Kluyveromyces lactis: one gene and its partners. The protein of the gene in region 1 purifies or fractionates together with the protein of each later gene. This does not show direct contact. Links are inferred from orthologs where the notes say so. Each region holds a gene or a part of one and is shown in the gene's direction. Other genes may lie near its edges. The genes, in order: NPL6, ARP9 and RSC9.

What was found.
Region 2: the proteins of NPL6 (region 1) and ARP9 purify together in Saccharomyces cerevisiae (affinity purification with mass spectrometry; 7 studies listed by BioGRID, with this or other methods). This does not show direct contact. The link is inferred for Kluyveromyces lactis from reciprocal best matches to the Saccharomyces cerevisiae genes NPL6 and ARP9.
Region 3: the proteins of NPL6 (region 1) and RSC9 purify together in Saccharomyces cerevisiae (affinity purification with mass spectrometry; 6 studies listed by BioGRID). This does not show direct contact. The link is inferred for Kluyveromyces lactis from reciprocal best matches to the Saccharomyces cerevisiae genes NPL6 and RSC9.

The regions. Positions count from the first base shown.
Region 1 is NC_006042.1:1,271,940-1,275,071, reverse strand, and holds NPL6 (Npl6p), read left to right. Parts: upstream 1-1,312; coding exon 1,313-2,575; downstream 2,576-3,132. Other genes in the region: AIP1 (Aip1p), read left to right, coding at 1-962; m-AAA protease subunit YTA12, read left to right, coding at 2,994-3,132. UniProt on the Saccharomyces cerevisiae protein: Component of the chromatin structure remodeling complex (RSC), which is involved in transcription regulation and nucleosome positioning. RSC is responsible for the transfer of a histone octamer from a nucleosome core particle to naked DNA.
Region 2 is NC_006039.1:1,062,471-1,066,092, reverse strand, and holds ARP9 (Arp9p), read left to right. Parts: upstream 1-1,522; coding exon 1,523-1,552; intron 1,553-1,665; coding exon 1,666-3,000; downstream 3,001-3,622. Other genes in the region: formin-binding protein HOF1, read left to right, coding at 1-500; centromeric DNA-binding histone H3-like protein CSE4, read right to left, coding at 695-1,249; serine/threonine protein kinase PKH1, read right to left, coding at 3,149-3,622.
Region 3 is NC_006040.1:881,001-884,483, forward strand, and holds RSC9 (Rsc9p), read left to right. Parts: upstream 1-1,148; coding exon 1,149-2,843; downstream 2,844-3,483. Other genes in the region: RPM2 (ribonuclease P), read right to left, coding at 3,177-3,483.

The DNA.
Region 1 (3,132 bases):
TCGGTGTTGTTGTCACTAAGGATAACTCCATCGTAACATTGACGCTTGATGGGACCTTGAGCATTTTGTCTCTAAATGATCATACCATCAAATTCATTCATGGTCACAACAAGGGGATTACTTCTTTGGCGGTAAACCCATTAGTGTCTGGGTCATACGATGGTAGAGTTGTTACCTGGAATTCAGAAGGTGACGAAGTCAATGCTATTAGCCATGATATTCATGGTAATCTCGTATTGGCCATCGATAACTCTGATAACGAGGTATCGAGTGTTTCTTGGGACGAAACGTTGAAGAATTTCATCGATGGTGAAAAAGCGCTTGCTGAAACGAAGTACCAATTCTCAGAGCAACCTAAATGTGCGGTTTTCTCTCATAACACTTTGGCTGTTGCTACAAACACTAACGAATTGTTGATCATCGATAACAAGAGTGGGCTATTATCGAAATCGATAACTCTAGATAAACCTGTCGGGGCCCTCGCATTGGGAACTACTTTCGTGGCAGTGGCATACGAACAAACCAACTCCGTGCAGCTATTCAAAATTTCTGACCTATCAGATGCATTCACGTTGGCCACTCCATTACGTGCCACTCCATCTGCTCTTTCCTTCTCTCCATCACAAAAGTACTTGGCTGCCGGTGACGTGTCCGGTAAGATTATCCTATATGATCTTGACACGAAGGACGTCAAGACCTCGAGATGGTCATTCCACACAAGCAGAATTACATCCATTGACTGGAGACCTTCTGCAAATGATGATGATTTGGAGGAAGATTATGTTGTCACTGGCTCTCTGGACACCAACATCTTCATCTACTCTGTTAACAAACCTATGAAAGTGATAAAAAGATTAAACGCACAAAAGGACGGTGTGTCCAGTGTACTATGGGAAAACGATTCCACTATCGTCAGCGCCGGTGTGGACGCCTGTATCAAGAGGTGGACCGTCGAGTTTTGAATGAGACACATTTTTTACCAGTAACACATAAAAGTATTTAACAGTTAGTTAACGTACGAAATATAAGACAATGAATAACAATAGGAGGATCAGATGTTGCATCAAGGCCCCCCCCCCCAGAAATATCTAGAGCTTCTAGTAAAGCCGTTGAAGTTGTTCTTTCTTCTTTATCATCTCATACGTTTTGATGTTTCTCTTGAACATTGAACAGATTCCTGCCTCTCAAAGCTTATATATAAACAAACAAGATCAACAAAGCTCGGTTGAAAGCGGATATACGCATAACATTCCTTAGTAATTCTGTATTTGGAATCACCAATCAAGAAGCTTGAGTTTCTCCTATATCAGATATGGCAGCAGCAGGAAGAGGCAGGAAGAGCTCGAGGGTTTCTCGCTCAGCTAACAAAGCAACCAGCTATAAAATCGATACAGACGAGTTAGACATTGAAGATGATGAAAAGGATCAAGAGTACCCTGGACCAGCCAATGATGATGATTACGATGATGACCCAGATGCTGATATCGAAAACGAGGGTAAACCATCTCGTTCCAAGCGCAAGGCCGCTTCGAGCACACCTGTTCCAGTGGTACTAGCGACAAGAGGAAGGCCTTCAAAGAGGAAAAGAGAAGAAGATTTGAACGATCCCTTAAGACAGAAACTACCGTACCCAGTGGACGAAAACGGGTCTCCATACCCAATTGTGAATGACGAGTATTCATTACCTGAGGATCCAGAGGGTGAAACCAAGATCACCAAGAATGGTGATCTTCTAGAGGGAAGACAATTTGTAGTCAGAACTTTCACGGTACCTTCCAGAGGTGAAGTTAAATACATGCTTTCTACTGAGCCAGCCCGTGCCGTTGGGTTCAGAGACTCATACTTGTTCTTCCAGTACCATCCAAACCTATACAAATTGATTATCTCGCAATCAGAGAGAGACGATCTCATCAAAAATGGTGTATTGCCCTATTCGTACAGAAACAGAATCATTGCGCTAGTTACTGCAAGGAGTGTGTTCCGAGAATTCGGAGCCAAGGTTGTTGTAGATGGTAAAAACATCACGGATGATTATTACGCCGGTAAGCTTCGTGCATCCGGGAAGGTGAAAGAGGGTACCCCAGCAAGAGAAACATCACACACAAGTGTCACTGGAAGAAATACCCTTGGAATAGACATTCCGCAACAATTATCCGTCAACCCATCCAAAAATGCAGTAGAATTCTTTGACAAGAGAAATCACAACATCCCGGCAACAAGCAATATCTCATCTACGAACTGGCTCTATCATCATGCTGCTGCATGCAGTAGATTCAACAGTGATCTTTTCTACGATAGAGAACGCATTCTTCTCATCGAAAACCTCGGACTAAGAGATACGTACACGAACGTCTTACATATACCACAATCCACACAATCGACGAGAGTGATATCAGTGAAGAAAGTGAAAGGAAACACAAGCCAAGTTATGTACGAAACAAGAATCAAAGCTCTTGACCTAGCAAGACCTTGCACCGGTCTTTCTGACGTCCCTACATCGATGTACGAAGACATCTTGGACGAAGATATAGTCGCTGCTATAGAAGAACAAAAGAGATTCGAAACAAGCCTATAACATAGCTGAACTGACCTCCCATGTATACGTGTATATCTCAACATACGTAATAAGAGTGTATTATACTAAGTGGCCGGGTAACGATATGTCCTTGCTCTACCAAAAATGAATTTGGGCTTTTCAACCAGAACAACCCCATAAGGTGAACAGACAAGGCCATTTGCCACCGATAAAAGGAGCGTTAGCAGTTACATTTGCAATCTACAGTGGTTGCATTGTGAATTTAAGACCCTATAGTAGTGTAAAATAGCCAGGTGTTTGTTGAAACGGCTGTTTTTGTCTCGGTTTGTTTCGGTGTTAACAAAGATTTTCCACTGGTTTTAAATTCGAAAAGTCCTGTTAGGTAAACGGTATAGCAATCAGACTCGGCTAACCGTAGCAGCGACGTGGTGGTTTTATTACATTGAAGTGACTTGCAATGTTCCATTTAATAAGGCCGGTATCTAGGCTTGGCGTAAAGTCTGTGGCCAGTAGGGCGTTGTACAAAGTTCCAAAGGGGCGTTCGCTGATATTGTTACGAAACGACGTATGCCGTACGTTCCATTCCGGTAAGCTCA
Region 2 (3,622 bases), on another chromosome or scaffold:
CTAGACCTTCATCAATGTATTCGCCCACAATGGATACGGATACTTCTGACAACGACAATAACAACTCTCTGAAGCCACCAACTGCAAATCGTAGAAAATCCATCGCATCGGATGTCGAAACAGCATTAGAAATCTTGGAAATGAATGATCGTCCGATGACATCAAGAACGAGCTCTGGTGCTTCTAGCAACTTAACTGTGAGCAGAACAGTGTTGCCTTTCAGCAACTCTTTGAATATAATGCGTTGTAAACGTGTGACTATTGATGGTGAACAATTGAATCTACCCATCGTTGATTCCATGAAAAATCCAGTCGTAAAATATGTCAAAGCGATGTATTCGTACACTGAACCCAATGAAAATAACATACTACTTTTCAATTCTGGTGATATCCTGCTGTTAGTCGAATGCATAAATGATGACTGGTATGTGGGTGAGGTATATCAAGGTAACAAACAGCATGGTCTGGTACCAATGAATTACGTGAAAGTAATAAATTGATGTACATCACTTTCACCTTGGACGCTTTCCTTTCTGACCATTTTCACCCGTTAAATAATGAATTTGTAACCATATGTAACCAATATAAAGTTCTATACTTATATATAATTTCTGCTCTTCCAATAGACATCAAACTATTAGCAAATTGAAGCTGAGCAGATAAATCTGTACTTTAAATGATAGGAAGGATTGCTTCAAATAAATTGACCTCGTATCCTTCTAGCTAGTTGCATGTCCTTTCTCATAATTGTAATTCTTTTAGCATGAAGTGCCAATAGATTTGTATGCTCTAATAAACCGACTAAGTAGGCTTCACTTGCTTCTTGAAGAGCCATAATTGCCATGGATTGCCATCGAAGAGGTTCGCTCTCGGTAGTGAATTGATCTGTTACCTCTTTCACTAGCCTCGCAAAGGGCATTCTGGATATAAGCAAATCTGTGGATCTTTGATATTTCCTTATTTCTGCCAAAGCTAGGTCAGTAGGTTTATATCTAGTTCCCCGAGCCTTTGTTATTCTTTCATGTGCGCTGATATGATGCTCTGGAGGGTGAATCTGCTGGCTGCTAGCAGAACGCTCGGGCTGGATGTATCTTGCTTTGTCTTCACTTCTATTTAACAACAAACGTCTTCTTCTGTTTCTCTGTAATAATTGTAGTGCTCTCTGATTGATCGATTCACGATCTATAAGTGAAGCGCCAACATTGCTCAAAGATCTAGAACCGTCTATGCTCCTGATAGACTGTTCCATTATGTATCAATCTCTTTTCCGTATGGTCTTTTGCGTGTCATAGAACTAATTTCAATGTTTCGCGTGTCATATTCATCATTGAGTAGGCTAATGTTAGCTAGATAACTGTTTTCATTATTTGAAAAATTCAAAAAGTAATAGAAGATAAACAAGTTTATACTTTGAATTAGCTACTTGGATAGGAAAAGTCTCGTCATTGACCTAGCAACTGTAACTCGTATTGTTACGATAAATCGAGCACTTTGTTGTATTGTTAGAAACCATTTAGCAAAAATGGCACCATTAAGACAAGACAGTTACTTCGTATGTGCGGTATCCAGATTGTTCATTATTCCGAAAACATTAGTTATTTAAACTACTAAGATAACTTTACTAACCGATCCACTCACATTACTACATGTGGTACTTTTGTCCAGATAATATATCCAGGATCCAATAGGACTTTGGTTCAATTTGGTATTGGAGAAGATACTTTGCAGCCGCCTTCGATTTCTATTCCAACAAAAGTTTACAGAGATGCAAATGGTAACTTTACATCCTCTGTTACTGATGTTGTTATCTGTCCCATTGTGAAGGGAAGCATTGTCGATATTGATGCGTTCCAATATTTTCTAAAGTTGATCTATAAATCTGTGTTAAAACAGGAGAGTGACGATAGTCCAATCGCTTGGGATACAGCTCTTTCTAATATTCCATTTTTGTTAATTTCGCATTACTCTTGGACTCAATTCCAACAAGAACTACTTTGCAGAACAGCTTTTGAAGCAATGAAATTGAAGCATTTTGTTATATTACCTAGCTCGTTAGCTAATTCATTTGCCTATGGCTCTTTGCAAAATTGTTTGATCATCGATATTGGCAAGTTTCACACCGATGTTGTACCAATTATGGACTATACACCCTTAACCTGCTTCATAAGACAGATTACTTCCGGTGGAAACTCGATAAATAAGAATCTACAGAGAGCTTTACCAAATCTCACCGAGTCCCAAATTGAGGATTTAAAAAGGTCGGATATATACGAAATTTTGTCCCAAGATATCATGGATCAATACGCTATCGACAACGAAGATGACGAAGAAGGTACTTTAGATGTGGCTACAATTGTTACTAGTGGGCGTGATACTCGAGAAATTCTAGAAGAGCGCGAACGAAACAAAAACAAAGAAAAACTGGACAACAGCAAATTAGAGACAAATGACTTCTTTGATACTGATGGTAATCGTATTACTGTAAGCAGGCAGAGATTCACAGGCTATGAAGATCTGTTGAAGGATGTCTCGAAAGCTGTAGGACAAGCAATGAGCCAGATTGATGACATAACCAAGCTTAAAGCAATGTGGGAAAATGTCATTATTGTTGGAGGGACATCACATATAAAAGGGTTCAGGGAAGCTCTTCTATCACAGCTGCTAAAAGACCATATAGTTAGTGAACCAGAAGAGGAACTGTATAAAAGAGAGGTGGATGCTGCGGCTAAATTAGATTCTAAACAGAAGAAAATTGGGAAGGTTTCCACTGCTCCAATCTTAAATCAGATTGAATATGTGCAGCCACCAACTACCATCATGACACCAAAGTTCCCTGAATATTTCTCGGAATGGAAGAAGATTGGTTTCGCTGATATTACCTTCTTAGGCGCCCAGATCTTAACAAAGCAAGTGTTTGGGCATTCTAACAATTCATTCTATGTCACAAGGGAGAAGTATGACGAACTAGGCCCAGAGGCCATCTGGGAGGTTTCTTTCTAAATAATTCTAGTACTTTTTCAATATATAAACGTATACAGATATCCATTGTAATTTCAATCAGCAAATGCAGTTCAGAGTACCGTACATTTAGAAAGTGCCCATCAAACTTCTCTAGAGCATTGAGCTATGACTCTTACTAGAATTTTGATCATTTGTTTGTTCTAAAGATTTGCTCGCTCCGGGAAAGCATTCTAGATCCACTTGATATTGGTCTTGTACCCAGCTTCCCGTTATTGTTTTGTTTTTGTCTCTGTGAGGTAAAACTGGACCTTCTTTTAGTGAGGAAAGGAGTTTTTGTAGTTTTATACCCATTAAGTTGTGTTTCGGCTTCCTGCTCAGCTAGTAATGCCGCTTTGTTAGCAATGGGATTGATTGATGTTTCATTATTAGTGAATCTTTCATTTTTGCTTTTAATCGCTGAAGTTAGGGAATGCAACCATACCAGGGTATCTGATTCGTCCGTTTGAAATACAAATGTTTTGAATGGCGTCTGTACAACGAAGATATCTTTCGAACTTGTCTTCTTCTCTGGTACAACCTCCTTTATGCGAACACCTAACTGTGACAAATCTATCTCATATTCTAGATCATAGAAAAGGTTTGAATTTTGATTAATTTTGTT
Region 3 (3,483 bases), on another chromosome or scaffold:
TAAGCCTAAAAATGCCAGTTGTTAAGCAAGAGAAAGTGTTCCACGTTTGTTGATATATATATATATATATATATATATATAGAATGGGAATTGCCAGAACAAACTTCTAGTTGACAGTGACAATGCATCACACTAAGTTGTAAAAATCGATGGCCACACTTAGTTCCAAATAATAGCTCTACACACTTATAATAAGGGGTAGGGTGACATGGATATACTCACGCATGGTCTAGCCAAGCTCACAATAGCGTCAGTTATGATGTTCGCTAACCCGTTACCTTTTTCCCTTATTTTTTGGATTCTAAAGACGTCTTTTTGCTAATGTTAAAGAAATGACTTTTGCGGTTTGCTAATGGCAGCAAGAAACGATGCAAAAGGACGACTGTGTCTTAAAATTGCAGATGGCAATGCCACCATTTGTATTGTGCCTTAAGGTAAAAATTCTTCCGGACGCCGTGATGTGTGGAATTTGCTTTGATGTATGTATGAGTAAGTAATCAGATCAGATCACTGAGAGTGATAACTCTGGGGGAGTTAGGGTCTAGGAAACTAATTAGGTAATTAGAATGTGTTTGAATCAGGGCAGAAATGGAAAAGAAGGAAGAGAATCAATGGGTCGTTTGAGTCGATTTGATGTTGAGATTACACTGAATCATCGGTTGATGATCCGTTCCTTAGCGTGGAATTACCACTTTTCGGTCACATGATCAACGTCAATTGCCAGGGAGGTGAATTTAAACTCGTTGTTCCCATAACCATTTGAAAAGGACTTAGGCTGTCACAGAGGGGATAGTCAGTGTTCATAAAGAGGATAAACCTAACTGTCAGAACTATGATTAGAATCACTAAGCAACAGCATATAGTCTTTAATCTGTCCTTGTTACTATGTACGGAGAGCATTTATGTAATCATTTACCCGGATATAAGCCGTATTATTGAACTCGAAATTCAACAACATGCAAAACAACGAAAGATTCGAGATGGACTTCTTAATATGTACAATGACAGAAAAGGAAAACGCGACTAATTAGATGGAGCTTACTTTCTTTGTACCTATATCGGCGATCTAGATACCTTAAACACACCTTCTTTCGGAGACTCGCTTTTTTCTAGTTTTGTGTGATACCTAGTGCTTCACAAATCAATAGATGTCCAGCCATTCAGTCACTCCGGTGATCAATGCTGAAGGAGAAACAGCGATTCCAAGCTTGAAGACATTGCCCGCAACACAATTAAATATTAGCAGAGACCAGACCAATGGTATTACCGCTAAGCCTGTTGCTGGGTTGCAACAATCATTAGGCAGTTTGCCTATCTTCAATCATTTGCCTGTAAACTCTAAGATTGGTGTTGATGATCTCACCCGTATGAAGATGGCATTGTTAAGTGGAATAGACGAAGAAGTTAAATTTGCATTGAAAAGATATTTACGGTATAGCATTAACGCTTCTTATGTTATCAAATTGAATGAGAATTTGGATTTGTTGCCCATTATTATGCCCTTGATTACAGCATGCAGAGAATACATTCCACAGCTTGTTGGCCCAATTTCCAATCAGGCTTTTGAAGCCCTACAAAAAGGTTCAATTACAATGCTTCTTTTGAGAAATTTGGCACAGGACTCGGAAAACACTTCGATATTAGCCACCGATATGGAATTGAAATCGTTCATATTGTTCGTGTTGGAGTGGGCAAATACGTTCAATTCGAAGGATTCGGCAATCTATCAGTCACATACATCCAGTTTCAACGAATTGTTAATCTATACTCTTGATTTAATGGAGGCGATTTCATCTTATATTGCACCAGCAAAAAAAGACGATCTATATTTCCAAAACCTCTGTTTGATATTTCGTGATACAAAGGATAGATACTGCGTGATCTCAATTTTGAGATCATTATCTAGACTCTTGGTGAGATCTAAATCGGACCAAAAGAGTGCAGCAGATAATTTGGATGATAGTTTGTTGAACAAGATTGTTCATAACCTTTTAATTGATAGGGATGAAGAGTTAATAATTGCTTCATTAGATTTCCTTTATCAATATATATTACCTGGTCATCAGAGAATAAAGACATTACTATCACATAAGGAAAGATATGATATCCTAGTTAGTACTCTCCCTGTTCTCCTCACGTATCATGTATCAACCCCTGATTATCATGCCCTTTCGAATACTAATATCAAACTTATACAGAGGGTAAAACCTCAACCACCAGCACACGCGCCTGAATTGCCAATGCCACTGCTCAAGGAATTATTTGAGCTAAACGAACCAATGCGTGCCACTTCCTGGTTGAGATGCTGCTTTGAGAGATCTCTGAATGGCGAAGTAACACAGATTCTTCTATGGAAAACTTATGAACAAACATTCAGCGAACAAGTAAAACTAACAGATCGAAAATTGATAACTGCCGTTGATTTCATTAAAAATGTTTCGAATGCTTTGCCCGGTGCATCCGCTTTGGTAGTTGTAGATGAAGCAACGTCGAAGAAAAAATTTGTAATAAGAGGTATACAGCCTCGCAGAAAAGCTCTTTCAATCGTAGAGGCAAATAAAGATATTGACCAGTCCTCGCCTATACAGACTGAAACCCCGGATGAATTTGAAAGCAACAATACTCCATCGGAAGCAGTTCAAATTTGTTTGCCAGATATTGTTTTCCCCGAGAATCTTTCTGATGTATCTAAAGCAAGTGCGTCATTCCTTTCACTTGTTTCTAACGATAGTACCGAGATCGTGGCACAATTTATTCATGATATGAAACCTTTGATATTACATCAAATTGCTGACGTGCCACCTTTAAATACTGTTCTTTTGGACTTCATACATTCAGGTTGAACTTACCGTTAGGCCGATAGAGTAATTAAAGTTGTAGTTTTGTAATAATTAAATGTATAACGTATCGATTAAAGGTAAAAATTAAACAACGGGAGACCTAACTAATGTATAAAATTGAATTAAAAATGGTGAAACAAAATAAAAAATAGATGATAGCAATTCTGACAATATCAGAATTTTGTATCGAATGGATCAGCGTAAACCCATTTTTGTCATAATAATCGTAAAACTCATCAAATAATAAATAAATAAAACTTTCTTCATGAGACAGATTGTTCATGGAAAGTATGATAGAAGTATAGTAAGAATAAGGTAACATCAGCAGAAAGTTGTTTAGTGCATGGAAGAATCTATAATATCTTTGAAACTCTCCACTTTAGAATGATGATCAGATAAGCCTTCAGATTTGTAAATGGCAGAAATGGAATCTAAAAGTACCATTAGCGAGGTCTTGCTAACGTTAAAAGAACCATTATCATTGAAGTTTATAACCTTTACAGCGTTGTTCAAACATACTGATTCGACGATGTTGTTGAACAAATTGTCAACCAAAATTGGGTTAATTTTTTGCCATATATTGAGCAACTGCAACATTTGGTCTTCGGTGAAAGTTATTGTTTTAAGATAACCCCTGAATCTC